Linked DNA regions of Ovis aries. The protein of the gene in region 4 purifies or fractionates together with the protein of the main gene of each other region. This does not show direct contact. Links are inferred from orthologs where the notes say so. Each region holds a gene or a part of one and is shown on either strand. Other genes may lie near its edges.

Region 1 (4,249 bases), on a different chromosome or scaffold from region 4:
TCTTAGGACCAGATATAGCATCGCATTTAATTGTATCAATTCAAGTACAAGCTCTTTTGCCTTTTTCCACAAAAAAATGAAATAAATATTGCTCTATTTATCCAATGACCTATCCCCTTTCAAACAGGACTCTAATTTCTCCTATCCCAGAGAAAGGGAGGCTGTGACAGACATGGAAGGAGAAAATAAAGAAAGCAACTCTAGTACTCTTTTTAGCTCCCCATCCCAGATTTTGACAATTTAAGGGTTTTCAAGGATATCTCAACCAAATGCAACTTATTAGCTGACTCCACAAACATAGACAAAGTATGATAAACGTAAGATTTTTTATTGAAATATTGGGAACGTTCTCTGTAGAGCACCAATCTCACTGAGGGGCAGTTTTGCCTCTCAAGTAACATTTGAAAATGTTTGAAGACATTCTTGAATGTTAAATCTTGGAGAGAGGGTGTTATGAGTATCTAATGGGTAAAATACAATACATAAATGAAAAATACTTAGGTTCAATTCTAAACACACAGAATGTGCCAAATTCTCAAGAAACATTGTTTATATACTTTGTCTCTAATACTTATTGTTAAATCACTAAATTTCTTATTCCCTTAAGCTTTGAAAAGATTGCATAATTACAGATGTGATCTTTATTTACTGGAAATTTAACATCAGTATTACTACCCCTTACCTCCTAAGGTTACTTGCTACTATAAAAGTATCAAAGGAAGTAACATTTCCAAGCTATGAATCTGGTTCCCTAAAAGTTGTGCTTGTTATTAGCTGTCTAGGAGCAAATGGACATGAACAGTCAGGTATCAAAGTACAACATAACACACAAATGGTATGGGTCCTCTTATCTGGGCCTGATATTTCAGGAGTGCACAAATACCTAGCCTCTTTATAGACTACTTTTAGGCTTAACTCCTCCAATTTGTTTATCCATCCAGACAAGCATACTTACTGAGGGCCTACTATGTGAAAAGCAAACTGAATACAAGACAAAAAACTTTTTACCAGTCTAATAAAAAGACACAGCTGAAATACAAAATGACTGGTGTCATAAACTGAAGTATCAAATAAGTGTTATAGAAGGCTGCAGGGGAAAGAATGCCGGGGGAGGCTTCCCAGAAGAGAAAATGGCACAGAAAACACACCCTGTTCACCTCTTAGTATTATAAGACTACAGCTTCTGCTCTTATACACTACATTTCTCAATTTTTGCTTCATCATCAAAACAAGAGGAAAGTGATGAGTCAAAAAATAAATTTATCAAAAGTACTTCCCAGGACCTCCTTCTTGTCCAACTTCTGGTTTGTTTTCTATATATCCAAACTTCAACAAGTTCCAAACACGCCATCTAACAAGTGTTTCTTTCTTTCTGAATTTATAAGACTATCACAGGGAATGATCACTGCTCTCTTCTTTCTTCCCTAGCTTCTTCTCCCAAAATAGTTTAATTTTCTCACCTTATTCTATGTTTTCGAATTCGGTAAGAGAGGAGTTGAGTCCCAAGATACAAGAAGTGCCAAATGACTGCTAGTGTATCTTTCTAAGTCTTGTCTTTATTTCCTGTTTTCTATTTCAACTCTACTGTAGCTCACTAACTGGACCCTTTCTTCTGAATCCTCAGTAGCCGACACAAATAAAAATTTCAGACCTACATCAGGAAACTAGCCACTAATATGTAGCCTTATCAGTTCATTCCCAATACATGATACCCCTGATGTTCTTCAACTTTTGAGTTTAGTTCTCATGGTCTAGGCTAGCGTTCCACTAAGGAAGCGTTTGCCTTACGGTGAACTGGGCGGGTAGCAACCAAATCGGAAACGATATTGAAAACTAGGTTTCTGCTTCCAACTACTCAATGTCACCATCTTGACCCCTCCACTTTTCTAAAGGGAATCCTCAGTAATGGGGGGCTAGAACGCCCAGGGAGGGCAGTATAGTAGAAAAATTTCTGGCACTTTCTAGTACTGTTTTTCCTCTGGGCCTCAGCTTCTCCACCTATGAAACTTGCACGTGACATGGGGTAGGGGAATTGACTTAATTTCCAAGGTCCTTAAGGCTAAAGTAAGTAATCCAGAAACCTCACCCTGTTTCTCGTCTAGCTTTATGTGGGACACGTGGGAGAACAAAAAGTAAGGTTTCACTCCATTAAATGACCTTAATTCTCAGATACAGTTTTAATAAGCTCACAAACTCCAGACCCACTCACCCTCCCCAGGGGTTGCAAATTTCCCCTTGGAGAAGCCAAAGCAAACAAAGCCCAATCCCGCAGATGATCAGGGAAGTGCTGAGGAAACCGTCCCTCAGGTTCTCAAGGCGCTGCCCCCGCAAAGGGCCTGCCCACCTAATCACTGACGGGCAAATGAATGAGTACAACCTGCTAGAGAAACGCTCACTCAAGGGAGGCTTCAACGCGAGACCCCCGGGCCCAGAACCCACAGAGAGCGATCCCTCCTCAAAGCCTGAAGGGTCAGGCCTCGGGGCCCGAGACCCGCCCCCTCCCTCAGGACAGAAGGTGCGCGCTAGGGCGCGAGACTCGGCGCGGAGAGGGCCTGGGACGCCCCGCGCACCCGCCCTCCCAAAGTGGAGGAGGAGCCTGCCGGTCTCCGGCCTCCACCACCCTGGCTCCCGACTTACCGCGGTGCTGGGGGCGGGGGAGAAGTGTCAGGAGTGAAGGCCTAGGCCGGACCACCACCCGCCGCTCAGAGAGCAGCGCGCGGCCGCCACGAAACCGTCGCCGCCGCCGCCACCACCGATACCGACCGCCGCTCCGGGCGCTGCGCGTAGAGGGCCCGACTGCGTCACACGCCGCCCGCCGTCAGAGGCTCGCTGCGAGCGCTCCGCCCTCGCAGTCTGCGCATTGGCAGACGCCGCCGCCACTCTACAGCCGCCCTGTTAGTCATTGGACCACGGGTCTTTTGAAACCGAACGTGAGGGCTGTCTTTGGGAGACTAGGAGAGGGGGGAAGAGGCGGGACCGAAGGAATTAGGGGGAGGAAAGGGGAGGGGCGGTAAGGAGGGACATGGAGTGCCGCCCCTCGTCGCCGCGGTTGGCTGGGAGGGAGTAGTGACGTCACACAGGGCCCCTCGAAGTGGGCTGGTGAGTGGCTACATCGGGAGGGGGGTGGGATAAGGGTGATGACGCTATGCCGAGGCTCCGCCCCTTCTCTGGAGCGGAGACACCCAGACTGCTGAGACTCGGGCCAATCAGAGTGAAGCTCCAGAATGGCATGGTAACTGTTCTACCCTTCCTTTGCCTCAGTCCGCGGGTGGTCATGGGAAAGTGCTCCTGTCGTCCGGCCCTCATTTCCTGCCCAGACCACGTGCGGAGCTGGAGGGCCCGCCTAGGTCTATCTAAGTAGCTCGCCTGCAGCTGCTCCAAGGCCCCCAAACCTGGCCTTCTTGCCTCCTGACCCATGCCAGCCCAACATAACCTCTCCCTCTCTGAATCCATAGCATAGGCATTGGGAGTGTTAGTGATGCCCTAAGGGAATGGCTCAGCTTAAAGTTTGGTACAAATAACAATTATTGGGACTTTTTTCCCACCTGCACTTTAGGAACCCCTAAAGTTCTAATTGAAATGATCCCGCCTCCTCTGGGATACCTTTGTGGATCAGTCTGTCCCAGCGAGTTGGGGTGATGCTTGGGCAAGCCTCTGTTACAGCTTTGTTTCTTTGTATTCTGTTACTTACTGTCTTATCTTCAGGGCGGGGCTCTTGGAAGTTAAAGCTTTATTTTCAAATTGGTGTTCCTTCCTCTTGTGTTCCCTGGTGGCTCAGAGGATAAAGCATCTGCCCGCCATACAGGAGGCTCGGGTTTGATCCCTGGGTTGGGAAGATCCCCTGGAGAAGGAAATGGCAACCCATCCCAGTATTTTTGCCTGGAGAATCCCCGTGGACAGAGGATCCGGGCGGGCTACAGTCCACGGGGTCACAAAGAGTCGGACACAACTGAGCGAGTTCACTTTTCCTTTCCCCCCAGGGTCTAGTCCAGAGCAGGAGACAGATTATCTCAAAGGGGTGAGTTGAACATGTTCTGGAAACTAGATCTAGTGACTAAGTGGAAAGTGAAAGTGAAAGTCGCTCAGTCTGACTCTTTGCGACCGCATGGACTATACAGTCTATAGAATTATCCAGGCCAGAATATTGGAGTGGGTAGCCTTTCCCCTCTCCAGGGGATCTTTCCAACCCAGGGATCAAACCCAGGTCTCCCGCATTGCAGGCGGACTCTACCAGCTGAGCCACAAGGGA
Region 2 (4,113 bases), on a different chromosome or scaffold from region 4:
ATTAGTAAAAAGAATTCGAAGTGCATGAGCATTGATCATGAAAATGAAACAAGCAAATAAAAACGAACAATTTTCACTTTTCAATTATTTAGATTCTAACCAAATATACTTTCAATATTAACATTTCTATAATATCAAGATTTAACTTATTTTTCTAAATACGAACTTTTGGTACTACTGAGCCCACCAAAAAAATTTTACTGCAAACAGAAATGCTGTCATTATAACGTAACTGAACATAAAAAAAAAAAAAGACACTCATGAGTTCATGAATTTATCAAATTCTAATTTTATAAAGCATACGATAGTATAAAGGACATGGACTCTGAAGTAAGCAGATTATGATTTGAATTTTGGTTCCATTACTTACATACTTACCTAGCTATTTTATCTGCATTAATCAACTTCTCTAGTTCTCATGTTCAGATTTGACAAAATAGAGACAATATCTACTTTCACAGCTATTATGCAATTATGTAAAGCCTTACACATGGTAAGAGTTCAACAAATAGTAAGTGCAATCCCTATTATTTGTTCTTAATTAAAAATAACTTATAAAATATAATATTACAGTATTAGCTGCTATTACTGTTATCATTATTAAATGCTTTAAAAGCAAAAAAATCTTACAAGGTTGTCGAAATGAGCTGGGAGTTCGGGGCATAACCTGGTTTCTTGGAGTGGTATTAGAAAAAATTTCATCTTGGGCTACCCGAACTACAGGAAATGTTAAAGAAAGTTTTTTGTATAGAAAAAAACATCACTAAAGTTAGAATGAACCATATTTCAGTTCAGTTCAGTTCAGTCGCTCAGTCGTGTCCGACTCTTTGCGACCCCATGAATCACAGCATGCCAGGCCTCCCTGTCCATCAGCAACTCCCGGAGTTTATCCAAACTCATGTCCATAGAGTTGGTGATACCATCCAGCCATCTCATCCTCTGTCGTCCCCTTCTCCTCCTGCCCCCAATCCCTTCCAGCATGAACCATATTTATACTATACAAAATATGAGAATATGTTTTTCAAGGACAAGGTATTTTATAGCTACCATATTTTCTATGCAAAGAGTAAATAATTCCTTTTCCCCTTTAAATTCTAGTTATCAGTTACTACAGTCTTGAACTAAGTGCTCAAGTCTTAGGTTACCACACACTGAACTAAGAGTTCTTAGAACTCAAATAATAAAGAAAATCTAACCTCAGCAAAAGCTAACCACAATATGACAGTTAGCAGTAAAATGGAACATCCTTATTTTCAAGGAAATATGAATCTCACTGAATTTCAGCATCATATTTACCAAATAACACATCTGGAGAGTTAAAAAAATTAATTTCCACAGTATTTTATTGCAGCTAGTGTTTAATATCACTATGAAGTCTATAATGCTAATTCCAAACATGTTACAATTTTTATAATGATGCTTAAAATGCAAAGGATACTTAAAGCTCTTTTTTGGGCACTCTGTTTGCGTGCAGTCCGAGTCACCTCTGCCTCCCGGATCACAGGAGATGACATCTCTCCAAAGCCACTCCTAAAATGGCAATAATCAAATTCACATGAATGAAATGAGAAAGGAGCATTTGCAAAAAAAACTTCTATCATTACCAAATCCAGCTTATCTCTCAAAGTCCTGCTCAAATTTTACCCGCATAAAGTCTTCTCTGACTTACGTGTTAATTTTTTCCTCCTCTGGAATTATTTTAACACTTGGAATCTAAATCTATATTCTAACACTGCTTTAAATAATTGCTTCCTGAAGATAAACCTTACTTCCTTGGATTGAGGAGGTTCCTAAAGTTGCAGGAACTCTTAAAAGGATGTCTGTAGTCTCCAAAGTACTTCAAACCATGGATACTTCTAAGCTGGTGACTTGGGAAACTAAATAAAAAATAAATCTAATAAATTGGAAAGAAATGATCCTTCAAGCTTTTCTTCCCAGAGTACACTAAGGGTGTCGTCTATCTCAGTACTATTACAGTCACAGACATTCTCAGCCCAAAGTCTAGAAAATAAATTGTGTGTATTATGAGACCTGTATCTTAAGAATCTAATGTGCATTTCCTCCACTTGAAATCTTCAGATAGATATCTCTGGCCTACAGAATCAAGTCCAAATTTCCTACCATGGCTTTTATAATCTGACCCCAGCTTACCAGTTCAGCCACAAACATCACTTTCATACAAACACACACTGCATGTGACCATTAAGCTATACTTTCATATCCTTACACCTTTATACCTTTGTAGGCATTCTTTTCAGAGGCCTACATTCACCTCTTTGGTCTATCTGGTGAATACTATCTGCTGAATCAAACAGCCCCCTAGAATCTAGAAACACATATCCAGGTTGGCAACTTGGTTCTTAGCTTCCTTTGTTAGCTTCCTAACTGATCAAGTTCCTTAACCTCTTTTAGCCTCAATTCTATGTATGAAAAGAGGATCACAGTAGCTACCTTCATAGGATTGAATAACTCATCAGGCCCCTACATAAAGATGAGTTATTCAAGGATCTTGGCAAGGACCATATCCGTCCCCGGCCCAAGCGGCCTTTCTCCCTTAGCTGCAGTCTTCCAGCCGGAAAAGGATGCCTAGAATCAGCACCCAGGCCCTCGTCTGCTTCCTCTGAGTCGGGTTTCACCTGTTTCATTCCTCCAACACGCTGGGGAGGAAAGTGATCGACTTCAGCCTTCACCACCAGAACTTACCTGTCCATGGCTACAGCCTTCTCCAGCAAGAACTTTGCAAACTCAACTCCACTTTAGCCACCGCGTTTCAGCCTACCCGCTCACCGGAAGTAAACCCTTCGACCTGGAAGCAAGTTCTCATGTTATCGCGAGGGGTGGGAGGGGAAAAGAACCAACTTTCCCTCTAGGCGCATGCACAAAGCCGCACTTTCGGCCTGCGCAGGCGCAAAGTTGTGTCGGCGATTAACGGCTCCGGGCTGGGCAGGGCCGGACCAGGGGCGGGGTAGAAGTGGGGTAGGAGGCGGGGCCTGATCGTTTATCCGTGCTGCGCGGCCGCCACTTTGCTTGACTGACATTTGTGAGGCGTGGTCCAGGCGCCGGTGTCCTGCTAGAGGTCCTGATGTATATTGATGGTATAGAAAAACGTGAAGCCATTTCCTCATACTCTATGGGAAACACCCTGGTCGTTGAATTCAGACGTGCTGGCTCTGCTCTACATCTTGGAGGTTCTTATATCTCTGACTGTACTCACCTTGTTTGAGCTGAAGTGTAAACCCCTTACAGTCTTTGAAACTGTTTTCCATAGTGGCTAATTATTCTTTACTTGGTATATTTCCCTATTAAGGAGAAAATGATCACCTGTCTTAAAAAGTGTAAAAGGTGTTGGTATCGCCCTCTATTTCAAAGTGCAGTAGTCAAAAAGCTGTATATTCTAGCCCTAAAGGAATAAGTTTACGTTTTCCTTAGGCATTTGTTGATATATTCCACCCTAATCCTGGGAAATGTCGTTCTAGGAGGACTTCTTCATACCTAATTCCTGCTGAGACAGCGTGGGGTTTTGAAAAAACGTGGCGTTGAGCTCCATCTAGGTTAGAAACCCCGGCGCTGCAGATTCCTTGCCTGTAAAATGGAGATAACGCGTTCATCACAGAGTTCTTGGGAGGATTAAGACGAGATGTCAAAGGTGCATCGCACATAGTAGTCATCGAAATGTTAATTTTCTCCTCCATCAATAACTATTTGAGTCTCACCCTAGTACCCTCTTTTTTTTTCATATTCTAATTTTTCTTGTATAAAAGAGTACTTGTCTCTTAATGGAAAATGAAATGTGGCCTTAATGTTTTTTTGTCAGTACTGGAATCAGGTTTATTCAAAGTAGGAGCCTGTTTCAGGTTCTTGCCATGTGTCCCCTGGCAAATGAATTGTAAAGTGTTTTATTATAAAATGTATTTGCGGTGATTGACCATAAGGCACACAGTAAAACGGAAGAGCAGTTTGGAGCAAAGAATTACCTCCAAGGTTCAGTTCATACGTAAAGAGGGAACATTTGTGTAAAAAGTGTACCAGGAAACTACCCTGGAGGTCCAATTGTTAAGACTTTGCCTTCCACTGAAATGGGTGTAGTTTTCATCCCTGGTCCGGGAGCTGAGA
Region 3 (4,145 bases), on a different chromosome or scaffold from region 4:
GTCAGTCTATCACCTGGTCCTAATGAAGCTACCCTCTAAGTGTATCTCGAATCCATCTATCTCTGTTTTTCTAGCTACTCCCACAGCTGAGTCACCAACATGTTGAGAGGGTAACAGGCATGAAGGCCAGCGGTCTCCAAACGGAGGAAATAGCCTGCAAGTGTCAGACATTTTTATCTCTCTTAAGCGGCAGAAGGAAGCAGGAGGAAACAAACTATCGATATTTTTTCCTTCTCTATACACATTTAAAAGGAGGTTTCCCTTAAAATACTGTGTTGCCATAATGACACCTGGTTTCACCTGAAGTTAACTATTCTCAAACCTAGAGACAACCAATGCCTTTTTCTTATGGAAATGTTTATCTTAAGCTATGTTAACATACTATGCATCTACCCCAAACTCTATCTTCAAGTTGGTTCCACCTCTTGGCTCAGAACCTCCTTGACAAACCAGTATGTTATACTCAGATACTGTTCCTCTAATCTATGTAAATGAAACTATTTGTATGGTGATCTGCCCTTCTTCAAGATTCAAGTTAATCATTTTATGGCCCAGGATGAACCATTTGGTGCCAAGATTATCCCAAAATGCATCTTATGGGTGAGGGGCCTGGTGCCATTCTGAGTTTCAAGACATTCCTTTCTTTCATTAACAGAATGCTGCTGCTGCTGCTAAGTCGCTTCAGTCGTGTCCAACTCTGTGTGACCCCATAGACGGCAGCTCACCAGGCTCCCCCGTCCTGGGATTCTCCAGGCAAGAACACTGGAGTGGGTTGCCATTTCCTTCTCCAATGCATGAAAGTGAAAAGTGAAAGTGAAGTCGTTCAGTCGTGTCCGACTCCTAGCGACCCCATGGACTGCAGCCCACCAGGCTCCTCCGTCCATGGGATTTTCCAGGCAAGAGTACTGGAGTGGGTTATATAACATTCAGCTGAAGACTAACAGGGGGGTACTCTTTCTGAACCCTTCTGATGCCTATGTCAGAAGCATTCTCTATCTCCTTTATACTATAATAAAACTTTATTACACAAAAGCTCTGAGCGATCAAACCTCGTCTCTGGCCCTGGATTGAATTCTTCTCCTCCGGGGGCCAAGAATCCCAGCATCTTTGTGTGATTTAACAACCTTTCAATGTCTTACTTGGTCCATCATAAAAGCAAACTGTTCTTTTGTATTTTACCCATCCATCCCAAATCTATTTTACACAAAGCAGAATGATTATTTTAAAATGTGATTTTGATCATGCTTATAGACTTTCAGTGACTGCTCAACATACTCAGGATAAAATTCACATATCTTGGGGCTTCCCTGGTAGTCTAGTGGTTAAGAATCTGCTTGCCAAGTCTCGGGACATCAGCTCGATCCCTGGCCTAGGAAGACTCCATATGCTATGCAGTAGCTAAGGCCACGCTCTAGAGCCTGTGCTCTGCAACGAGAAGCTGCCGTAATGAGAAGCCCATGCACCAGAGCAGAGACCAAGCACAGCCTGAGGTCCTTCATGATGAGTCCACCCTAGCTACTAGTCTCAGCATCGCTCACGTCCTTTTCCATTTTGCCATTTGCAGTTAAGCCGCATAGATCTTTAGTCAGTTCCTCAAACCTGTCAAATTCTTTTCACCTCATGGATTTTGGAGACAGTGATCCCACTTGCTCAAATGCTCTCTCCCACAACACCTTGCTTGGCTAACCTTTCACCCTTCCAATCTCAGGTTAAATGTGACTTACTTTAGGCCTCTCCAGCCCCACCAATAACACTTGGTCTTCCCATTAGCCTCTCAAAACCCTATTCTTCTCCTCTGAGGCAAGAATGAAAAATCTGTATTGATATACCTATGCATGAACATTAGCTTGATGCCTTTTTTCTTCTCAAAACTGCCCCATGAAAGGTAGGTCCACGTCTCTTACACTGCCACACCTTGCATGATGAAAACGGTGATTGTTTTTGTTAGTCATTTTGTCCCCAGGACACCTAGCAGTGCCTGACAAGTAAAGGCTCAAACACATAGGATGAATGTAAAGCACTACAAATACATAACGGGCTCATGTTTAAAAACTGGTCTTTGGGGCTTTAGCCCCTATGCTACATTTCTTCTGCTTTTAGTGTTGCCTGATAGGGTAACTCTTCCAGAACTCTGGGTGTCCTTAATTCTCCACTGATTAAGACAGAAATAGAAAGCAGTCTTTTTTTCTTTTCCTGTCTACAACCACTCGGAAAATGAATGACATCTCAGGGCCAGACAGGAAAATTCAGCCGCCGAACGACCCGACCTTCCAGAGGGCTTGCCAAACACAGCACTCACCAATGAATGAATCTGTTTCTGGTGACGGAGAACAACTTGCCACTTTCCACATAGTAGAAGCCTCCCGCGCTCTCACTGCATTTCACGGCTCCGGCCGCTGCATTTGCAGTTCCTGTAAAAGGTGAGTGGTCAGCCTGCACACGTGGTTCTCTGGGCATGACACGGACCGAGGTCGCTGAGAAAGCAGAGGAGGACGGACTGACAGTCCATACAGAATGAAAGGGGAGGGAAGAGGAGGCAGCAGGACACTAAGGTAGCTCTGATTCCTGTGCTAACAGGCATGTGGGCTCAGAAGGGTAACGGGGGGGCGGGGGTTGGGATGGAGAAATCCACAGGGGAGGCCCGAGGGGAAGGTTCGGATCGCGCTCTGCTGGGATGCTGCCGTACCAATGCCGCAGACGGTGAACTCCCGAAAGTGCCTGGGCCTTTCGCGCTCAGCGCCGACGAGCTCCACGAAGCTCCGTTCCACGGCTCCCGCCGCCGCCATCTTCCCGCGCCGCCGCGAGGCCCGACGGGACACCAGCAGGGCCGGGCGAGTGTCGTCACTTCCGGAGGGCGGGGCAGGCGGGCAGGTGGAGAAGTCCGGAGAGGTCGGGGGCGGCCGGATCCTGCGTTGAGGTGTCCATCGAGTTAGCTGGAGATCAGGTGCGCAGGGAGGGAGCCGAGGGAGAAAGGGCTAGGGGAAGCCTGCGGACTCCACCTGAGGAAACCTTTGCGTGGCCGGCTAGGACGCCCCAAGCGGCGGCGCCATATTTCCCGGCGGCCTCGGGGCAGGGGGCGTGGCCGGGTTTGTTTCCATTTTAAAAACGCCGCGCGGGACGCAGGTCTCAGCCTGCCGGGAGGGGCGAGGTCCCGGGAGGCCCGGCAGACGGGCGCCCTCTACTGGGTTTCGAGCTTGCGGTCATCTCTCCCTGAGTCGTGGTATCTGTCAGTGCATCTCCGCTCTGTCTCCTTTTATTCACCCACCCTTAAGCGAGCCTTGGGGATGGGATGGTGGGTGATGGGGGCGGGGGCAGTGAAGGGCAGAGTGTCCTTTTGTGTTGGAATTTTTCCGAGAGACTGTATACGAGTATTTTTGTATAATGAACTGTAATGTATTCTGGTATTCACCCATCTGGAATGGGTGAATTTAACTCAGATGACCATTATATCTACTACTATGGGCAGGAATCCGTTAGAAGAAATGGAATAGCCATCATGGTCAACGAAAGAGTCCGAAATGCAGTACTTGGATGCAATCTCAAAAACGACAGAATGATCTCTGTTCGTTTCCAAGGCAAACCATTCAATATCACAGTAATCCAAGCCTATGCCCCAACCAGTAACGCTGAAGAAGCTGAAGTTGAATGGTTCTATGAAGACCTACAAGACCTTTTAGAACTAACACCTGCAAAAGATGTCCTTTTTATTATAGGGGACTGGAATGCAAAAGTAGGAAGTCAAGAAACACCTGGAGTAACAGGCAAATTTGGCCTTGGAGTATGGAATGAAGCAGGGCAAAGGCTAATAGAGTTTTGCTAAGAGAATGCACTGGTCATAGCAAACACCCTCTTCCAATAACACAAGACAAGACTCTACACATGGACATCACCAGATGGTCAATACCGAAATCAGATTGATTATATTCTTTGCAGCCAAAGATGGAGAACCTCTATACAGTCAGCAAAAACAAGACCGGGAGCTGACTGTGGCTCAGATCATGAACTCCTTATTGCCAAATTCAGACTTAAATTGAAGAAAGTGGAGAAAACCACTAGACCACTCAGGTATGACCTAAATCAAATCCCTTATGATTATACAGTGGAAATGAGAAATAGATTTAAGGGACTAGATCTGATAGAGTGCC
Region 4 (4,119 bases):
GGAGATGATAACAGTGCCACTCAAGTCAGGCACTTATGGTGCTGCTGCCCTAGAAAGTCACTGGGCCAATACTGACCACTCTCCCACAGAGGAAACAGGTACAATTCACAGGAGCCTCTGGTCACAATGTATTTATCAACCAACCTATCAATAACCTTGTTTTACCTGTGCATGTTTGCAAACACCTTATTTTGTATACATTATCGATTCACTAACACTGAACACTGGAAAAGACCCTGATGCTGGGAAAAGACTGAAGGCAGGAGAAGGGAAGGACAGGGGATGAAATGGTTGGATGGCATCACCGACTCAATGGACATGAGTTTGAGCAAGCCCCAGGAGTTGGTGAAGGACAGGGAAGCCTGGCGTGCTGCAGTCCATGGGGTCACAAAGAGTCGGATGCAACTGAGTGACTGAACTGAAATCACACCAACACTGTAACTCAGGTCTGAATGAAGCTCCCCTAACACATACTTTTTCGGGAAGGCACTCATAGCCTTTTTGCTGTGGGACATTATGCAGCACTACACTTGAGGACCACTTCAGCCAGTGAAATTCACCAAAAGAATGAAAATGTGAAAAATGTGGCACCAAACACACACTCAGAAGGACGCTTGTTTACACTATGAAAGCCTGAATAAAAGGCAGAGTGTCACATGTCCAACCTCAGCTGGGAACACAACCTGAACAACTCCAATTTTTCTGCCACCTGGTCATGTCAACAAATAACCATGAGCGTTGCTTTGGGGGTTACAAATAAACTTTATAGAATAAGCAAATTCACAAATACAAAACTTGCAAATAACAAGACTCAACTGTATATATAACAGTCAAAGACAAAACACTGAACCTTCATACCAACAAAAAATAGACATTACAATAACGTGAGATTTTAACCAGGTTTTTTAAATGTAATATGTCCCCCAAATAAATCAATTTTTAAAAATGTAATGATAAAACAGTATTGTGGCTCCTCATAAAACTTCAAACAGGACTTCCCCGGTGGATAGAATTTGCCTGCCAACGCAAGTCCGTTTTCTTGAGCAGATGACCCGCAACTACTGAACCCTGCGTGACCGAGAGCCCATCCTCCACAAGAAGCGCCGCTAATGAGAAGCCTGGAGCACCACAACGATGAGCAGCCCTCGCTCTCCTCAACTAGAGAAAGCCCAAGAACAGCAACACATATATAAAAATTATTAAAATTTTTTCAAATAAAAATAGAATTGCCATGTGATTCAGCAATTCCACTTCTGGGTCTGCACCCAAAAGAGTTGAAAGCAGGTCTCAAAGCTATACTTGTTCACCCACATTCACAGCAGCACTGTTCACAACTAAAATGTAGAAGGAACCAAACTCCACCAACAGATGAGTGATATGTAAAATGTGGTATATGCAGATACATATACTCAGCCTCTTTAAAAGTTTTTAGATTATTTAAACGCTTCCTTTTCTCGGGAAGGAAATTATGACAAATGCTACAACACGTATGAACTTCAAAACATTAAGCTAAGTGAAATCAGCCAGTCACAAAAAAGACAAATCCTGTATGATCCCACTTGTATGAGGCCGCTGGAGTAGCCAAATTCAGAGACAGAAAGTACAAGGGCGGGGACCGGGGTGGACGCTTCAGGGATCGGTGAGTCATGCTTAATGCGGACAGTGCAAACTGAGGATGGCAGTGACCGATGCAAAGATACAAACATACTTAATAAAAACGGTTAAGGTGGTAAATTTTGTTACCTGTAGTTCACTGCAATAACGAAAACACTAAAGAAAAAAATGCAATGATAATGTCCGACACGGACAACTATCACACCGATACTCTTCACCGGCAGCTGTAAAACAGTACAACCTTCAAAAAGACAATCTACCAAGTACTCTCAAGAGCTTTTAAAATACTCATTAATTTCTTTACTGGAATGAGCCTAAGGAAAACTTCCAAAAAACATAAAAAGCGGGATTAACGAAGCTTTTTCACTGCAACACCCCGACAAATACTCCGCACACGGGACAATCCTCTAGAAGACAGCTTTAAGCGGATAAGGAAACCTACTCGGTTAACGGACGCCAATTATCGCGACTGTCACGCGGCCGCGGCGGGCGGAGAGAAAACCCGGGCCTCGTCACAGATCCGTCAGCGAGGGCCGCGCAGCCGCGGCCCAGCTGTGAATACATGGACGGAGGGAGCCCAATCCGACGGGCGCCCGCGGAGCGGGCCTAGGTCCCGCCGACCACCGCCAAGCGAGACATCCCCCTCCCACGAGGTGCTCCGGCCCCAGCCTGGAGCCCAGGGCAAGCCTGGCCGATCGGAGCGCCCTGCTTCCCCCGCAGCGGGAGCGCGCCCGCCGCCGTGACGCACGCACGCACGCAGACAACCGCGGAGAGGCGGCCCGGGCGGCAGTGACCCCACAATACCCGGGAGGAGGGCGCCCGCCGGCCAAGCCGCCGGGCCTCGTGCCCGGCAAGGCGCCTCAACTCGGGAGCACTCCCCTCTCCACGCGCCCCTCGCTCGGACAGCGGGCCGCGCAAGGTCCCGCCCGCTTCCAGGCTCGGCCCGCACCTTGACGCTTTGGTCGCTGGAGCAGGTGGCCATCCGCCGCCCGTGGAAGTCAAAAGACACATCATGGATGAGATCCTTGTGGTCCGCCGCGATACTGCGCGCCACGAACATGGCTGCGCCGGACCCCTCCCGCCTCCTACACGGCGGCGCGGCGGCGCGCGGACCGCAGCCCACCCGGACCCGGCGCCGGGGCGCGCACGGCGGTGCTTTCCGCGTGCTGCTCGCGCGCCCCGGGCTGCGCCCGCCCCGCCCCCTGGCCCGTCATACCCCGCGGGGCCCCGCCCCCTGGCCCGTCATACCCCGCGGGACCCCGCCCCCTGCCCGTCACACCCCGCAAGGCTCCGCCCCCGGTTCGCCGTACCAGTCAAGGCCCGGGTGTGGGTCAAACACCGCGTGGCGGGGGCCGCGGTAGTTACTCTGTCGCCTGGCTGCGGCGCAGTCTGTGCCCTGAAGTGAAATGAAGTAAAAGTCGCTCAGTCGTGTCCGACTCTTTGCGACCCCATCCACTATACAGTCCATGGAATTCTCCAGGCCAGAATACTGGAGTGTGTAGCCTTTCTCTCTTTCAGGGAGTCTTCCCAATCCAGGGATCGAAGCCAGGACTCCCCGCATTGCGGGCGGATTCTTTACCCGCTTAGCCACAAGGAAAGCCCGTCGGTGCCCTAAGGGGACTTAAGGAGCTCTCCGTCGAAGTGTGGAGATTAGGGGAATGTGAAGGTTAAGACTATCATTTGCAAGCCTCGGCCCTGAGTCAGTCTCATCGCGTTGGGCCCCGGGAGTCGGGCAGGGCCCCGGGAGTGAGCGCAGAGATTAGCGGTGCGTAAGGAGCGTGTGTCCAGCGTGTGTGGTGAGGGGTGGGGGGGTGCGTGGCCCCGGCAGTCCCCGTTCCCCCAGGATCTGCAGAAATGGTTTGGCCTTACTGGAAATGCCTTCACTTGCCTTTCCCCTCCCACTAAAAATGGTAAGATTTTATTGGTACTTTAAGAGGACACATACATGTGACAGTGTGGACTGTAGCCCGGTACGTCAAGGGCAAACCCCCAAATCCGTGAGTTGCCGGTATGATAACTGAGAACTACTGTAACTGCTCTAAGAACAAAGACACTCGTTGCCAGAGAAAATACTCACAAAACTCATAAAAGCAGCGTGACAGCCTTACAATCAACGTCACACTTGACCCAGTTTACAGACCCAAAAACCCTTGATTAAAGAGGAAGCCAGATCACCTTGAGGAAAGACCCTACTGTGCTGCCAAAAATACACACTGAATCTTCCAGCCTTCCCTCAGGGGACCTGGGGCCTTTTACCACGGTGATTATGCTTTGGGGAAAAGGAAATAATTAGATTTTTCAAGAATTCTGAACACGCAGCTCCAAACTGACCCTGATTTCAGGAGACCCAAAATATCACTGTGATCCACAGTCAGAGCAGGCCTTGAGGAGGTCAGCTGACCAGAGGTTTTCTGGCTCAGGTGTGTCTCACAGTGGGTCCTCAGAGCCATCCTGTGGTTATTTCCCTGGTTCTGGAATGTGGTTGGGCAACAGGGAGAATCCTTG
Region 5 (4,152 bases), on a different chromosome or scaffold from region 4:
ATAGGTATCCCTCTTCTAACAGCCATGAATCTCCTTCTAAGCATCATATATCATCCACATCTGACATACTCTCCTGAGAGTTCAAACAGATGTGAAAGCAAACAGAGCAATGAAAAAGCAGGAGTATTCTCCCGAGACCTAGTAGATGCTGAAAAGATCAAGAAGAGATAGAAAGAATACATGGAAGAACTGTATAAAAAAGATCTTAATGAACCGGATTACTAGTTAGTCCGGTTGTAGTTAGTCACCCAGAGTCAGACATTCTGGAGTGCAAAGTCAAGTGGGCCTTAGGAGAAGCACTGCTGTTAATAAAGCTAGTGGATGTGATGAAATTCCAGCAGAACTACTCAAATCCCTGAAGGAGAATACCATCAAGGATTTGCATTCATTATGTCAGCAAGTCTGGAAGACCCAGCAGTGGCCACATGACTGGAAAAGGTAATCTTCATCTCAATTCCCAAGAAGGGTAGTACCAAAGAATGTGCTAACCATCAGACAATTGCACTCATCTCCCATGCTAGTAAGATCATGCTTAAAATCTTGCATGCTAGGCTGAAGCATTATGCGAACCAAGAACTTCCAGATGTCCAAGCTGGGCTTAGAAAAGAAAGAGGAACTAGAGATCAAATTGCCAACATTTGCTGGATGATACAGAAAGCAAGGGAATTTCAAAAAAACATCTATCTCTGCTTCATCAACTACCCTAAAGCCTTTGACTGTGTGGATCATGACAAACTGTGGAAAGCTCTTAGAGAGATGGGAATACCAGACCATCACACCTGTCTCCTAAGAAATACTCCCTGACAAATATTTCCATTTGTCCACTTAGGCTTGTTCTACACCTCTTAGCTCTTGGTAACCTGTAAGCCCTGCTAAATGGCAAAGAAGCAAAGTTAGAAGCAGGAGAAACATCAACAGACTTAGATGATGACACCACCCTAATGGCAGAAAGTGAAGAGGAACTAAAGAGCCTCTTGATGAGTGTGGAGGAGAGTGAAAGAGTCAGCTTAAGGCTAAATATTAAAAAAAACTAAGATCATGGCATCTGGCTCCATTCAGTTCAGTTGAGTTCAGTTGCTCAGTCATGTCCGACTCTTTGCGACCCCATGAATTGCAGCACACCAGGCCTCCCTGTCCATCACCAACCCCCGGAGTTCACTCAGACTCATGTCCATCAAGTCCGTGATGCCATCCAGCCATCTCATCCTCAGTCGTCCCCTTCTCCTCCTGCCCCCAATCCCTCCCAGCATCAGAGCCTTTTCCAATGAGTCAACTCTTTGCATGAGGTGGCCAAAGTATTGGAGTTTCAGCTTTAGCATCAGTCCTTCCAAAGAACACCCACGACTGATCTCCCTTAGAATGGACTGGTTGGATCTTGCAGTCCATGGGACTCTCAAGAGTCTTCTCCAGCACCACAGTTCAAAAACATCAATTCTTCGGTGCTCAGCTTTCTTCACAGTCCAACTCTCGCATCCATACATGACCACTGGAAAAACCATAGCCTTGACTAGACGGACCTCTGTTGGCAACGTAATGTCTCTGCTTTTGAATATGCTATCTAGGTTGGTCATAACTTTCCTTCCAAGGAGTAAGCCTCTTTTAATTTCATGGCTGCAATCACCACTGCAGCAAATAGAAGGGGGAAAGGTGGAAGTAATGACAGATTTCCTCTTGAGCTCCAAAATCTCTGCAGATAGTGAATGCAGCCATGAAATCAAACACAATTGCTTCTTGACAGGAAAGTGATGACAAACCTAGGCAGTGAGTTGAAAAGCAGAGACATTACCAACAAAGGTTCGTGTTGTCAACGATATGGTCTTCCCAGGGGTCATGTACAGTTGTGAGAGCTGGACCATAAAGAAGGCAGAATGCCAAAGAATTGATGCCTTCGAACTGTGGTGCTGGAGAAGACTCCTGAAAGTCCCTTGGACAGGAAGGAGATCAAACCAGTCAATCTTAAGGGAGGTCAATCCTGAATACTCACTGGAGGGACTGTTGCTGAAGCTGAAGCTCCAGTATTTTGGTCATCTGATGAGAACAGACGACTCATTTGGCAAAGTCCCTGATGTTGAGAAAGATCGAGGGCAGGAGGAGCAGAGGGCGTCAGAGGACGAGATGAAGCGACGGCATCAAGGATGGAATGAACTTGAACTTAAGCAAACTCCGGGAGGTGGTGAGGGACAGGGAGGCCTGGCGTGCTGCAGTCCATGGGGTCGCAAAGAGTCGGACACGACTGGGCCACTGAACAACAGCAGTCTCCCAAGAGAACTATACTTGGTAAACCTACGGCCTGCTCAAGCAGAAGCCAGGCTCAGGGGGCTGCGACGTGAAGCTTTGCTCCGCTGGGAGAAAAAAAGCCGTACAATATCTCCGCCTGGCTCCAACCCGCTCATTAAAGCTTTAGCCCAACAGGAAAAGCCAGAGAAGCAGGGAGGTCGGGGAGGCAAGGGACAGAAAGGAACAGAGTTGGGGGGGCGGTCTCCAGGGCCAGGTATTCCTCAGAATACACATGGGAGCAGAAACCCAGCGACCACCACGACCCACACGCGGGGAGCGAATTAATGCGACTTCCGAACGGGGGGCAACTGTGCTGAGGGAAGGGGCCGGGCACCCTGCCAGCGGCAGGGACGAGGCGGACCCAATCTCCGGGCCCCAGGGCGGGGGAGAGCGTACTGTTCGGGGCCCCCTTACAGTGACCGTCGGCTCGCTGTCGAACTCCTCCATAGCGCCGCACCACAGCCGCCGGGAACTCGCGGGGCCGCCAGGGCTCGCGCCTCAGGGCTCCGGCTCAGGGCCGGCTGCGAGAGAGGACCCCGCGCGTGAGCGCCTCCCGCACTGCCTGCAGGCCCAGAGGCCCGCCGCGGCGGGGCCTTCTCCTCAGAGCCTCGGCCACCCGCTCTGCGGCGCTGCCCACGCGCCCCTCCTTCTGGCCTCGACCACACGAACGGGGAAGGCAGCACTAGGGGCGGCCTGCCCTCACGGGACCCCTTTCGCCAGAGCCGGCGCCGCCGCGGACACCCCTGAGCCGGGCGGAAAGAAGGCCCCCCGGAGACGGCGGGAGCGGCGGGGAGGCGGCTGCGCGTGCGCGGTCGAGGGCGAGCTCTCGGTTTGGCCCCGGCGGGAGCGAGTTCACCACCTCTGGCGAGCCTGGGTTTCCTTCCCGCGCCTCGGTCTGCAGGCTCCAGTCGTCGGCGCCGCTGCTTTTTCCGTGGCAGGAGCCCCGTTGGTCCATCGGGCTTGTGTACGAAGGTATTCGTCACCAGCCCCTACCCCAAAAGGCTCCAGAGGCGTGAGGGGGACGAGATTGATGCAGCTGAAACAGCTAGGAAACGGAGACCCCTGGGCTCAGTTGAACACAAATACTGGTTTGTTATGGGCTTCCCAGGTGGCTCAGTGGTCAAGAATACCGAGACGCGGGTTCGATCCCGGGGTGGGAAAGATCCCCTACAGAAGAAAATGGCAACCCTCTCATACTCTTGCCTGGGAAAATCCCATGGACAGAGGAGCCTGGCGGACTACAGTTCATGGAGTCGCAAGAGTCGAACGCGGCTTAGCGACTGAACAACTGATTTGTTATCTCACCAAAGAAAAGCAGGAGAAAAAATCAAATCAGGGAATTTGAATCCCAGATCTTGTTATGGAAAACCTCAAAAGTGCTTCGGTGACCTAAAGGAGTTATTTATTTTGTGAGTGCCATGTTTACAAATGTATACACATACAAAGACGGAGAAGGCAATGGCACCCCACTCCAGTATTCTTGCCTGGAAAATCCCATGGACGGAGAAGCCTGGAAGGCTGCAGTCCATGGGGTCGCTGAGGGTTGGACACGACTGAGCGACTTCACTTTCACTTTTCACTTTCATGCATTGGAGAAGGAAATGGCAACCCACTCCAGTGTTCTTGCCTGGAGAATCCCAGGGACGGGGGAGCCTGGTGGGCTGCCCTCTCTGGGGTCGCACAGAATCGGACACGACTGAAGCGACTTAGCAGCAGCGGCAGCAGCAGCAGACATACAAAGAAGAGAATATTACTGGTTCTAAATTCCCAAATAAGCGCATTTTTTTTTAAACAAGCTGGAACTAATTCGATATCTTAAACCTTTGGAAACGGTGCCTGAAAATGTAGCAGCTCTTATTATCTAGAAAAGAAATT

The links.
Region 1: the proteins of SEH1L (region 4) and NUP98 fractionate together in Homo sapiens (co-fractionation; 3 studies listed by BioGRID and IntAct, with this or other methods). This does not show direct contact. The link is inferred for Ovis aries from reciprocal best matches to the Homo sapiens genes SEH1L and NUP98.
Region 2: the proteins of SEH1L (region 4) and NUP107 purify together in Homo sapiens (affinity purification with mass spectrometry; 5 studies listed by BioGRID and IntAct, with this or other methods). This does not show direct contact. The link is inferred for Ovis aries from reciprocal best matches to the Homo sapiens genes SEH1L and NUP107.
Region 3: the proteins of SEH1L (region 4) and NUP160 fractionate together in Homo sapiens (co-fractionation; 3 studies listed by BioGRID and IntAct, with this or other methods). This does not show direct contact. The link is inferred for Ovis aries from reciprocal best matches to the Homo sapiens genes SEH1L and NUP160.
Region 5: the proteins of SEH1L (region 4) and NUP85 purify together in Homo sapiens (affinity purification with western blotting; 4 studies listed by BioGRID and IntAct, with this or other methods). This does not show direct contact. The link is inferred for Ovis aries from reciprocal best matches to the Homo sapiens genes SEH1L and NUP85.

What each region holds. Positions count from the first base shown.
Region 1 is NC_056068.1:50,027,172-50,031,420, reverse strand, and holds the start of NUP98 (nuclear pore complex protein Nup98-Nup96), read right to left. Parts: upstream 2,801-4,249; 5' UTR 2,638-2,800; intron 1-2,637. UniProt on the Homo sapiens protein: Plays a role in the nuclear pore complex (NPC) assembly and/or maintenance. NUP98 and NUP96 are involved in the bidirectional transport across the NPC. May anchor NUP153 and TPR to the NPC.
Region 2 is NC_056056.1:151,301,037-151,305,149, forward strand, and holds the start of NUP107 (nuclear pore complex protein Nup107), read right to left. Parts: upstream 2,801-4,113; 5' UTR 2,712-2,800; coding exon 2,704-2,711; intron 1,531-2,703; coding exon 1,439-1,530; intron 718-1,438; coding exon 631-717; coding exon of another isoform or gene 630-630; intron 15-629; coding exon of another isoform or gene 1-14. UniProt on the Homo sapiens protein: Plays a role in the nuclear pore complex (NPC) assembly and/or maintenance. Required for the assembly of peripheral proteins into the NPC. May anchor NUP62 to the NPC. Involved in nephrogenesis.
Region 3 is NC_056068.1:76,491,470-76,495,614, forward strand, and holds the start of NUP160 (nuclear pore complex protein Nup160), read right to left. Parts: upstream 2,801-4,145; 5' UTR 2,787-2,800; coding exon 2,687-2,786; intron 2,412-2,686; coding exon 2,300-2,411; intron 1-2,299. UniProt on the Homo sapiens protein: Functions as a component of the nuclear pore complex (NPC). Involved in poly(A)+ RNA transport.
Region 4 is NC_056076.1:43,684,211-43,688,329, reverse strand, and holds the start of SEH1L (nucleoporin SEH1), read right to left. Parts: upstream 2,801-4,119; 5' UTR 2,675-2,800; coding exon 2,564-2,674; intron 2,351-2,563; exon of another isoform or gene 2,057-2,350; intron 1-2,056. UniProt on the Homo sapiens protein: Component of the Nup107-160 subcomplex of the nuclear pore complex (NPC). The Nup107-160 subcomplex is required for the assembly of a functional NPC.
Region 5 is NC_056064.1:55,609,176-55,613,327, forward strand, and holds the start of NUP85 (nuclear pore complex protein Nup85), read right to left. Parts: upstream 2,801-4,152; 5' UTR 2,725-2,800; coding exon of another isoform or gene 2,692-2,724; 5' UTR 2,051-2,691; coding exon 1,985-2,050; intron 1-1,984. UniProt on the Homo sapiens protein: Essential component of the nuclear pore complex (NPC) that seems to be required for NPC assembly and maintenance. As part of the NPC Nup107-160 subcomplex plays a role in RNA export and in tethering NUP96/Nup98 and NUP153 to the nucleus.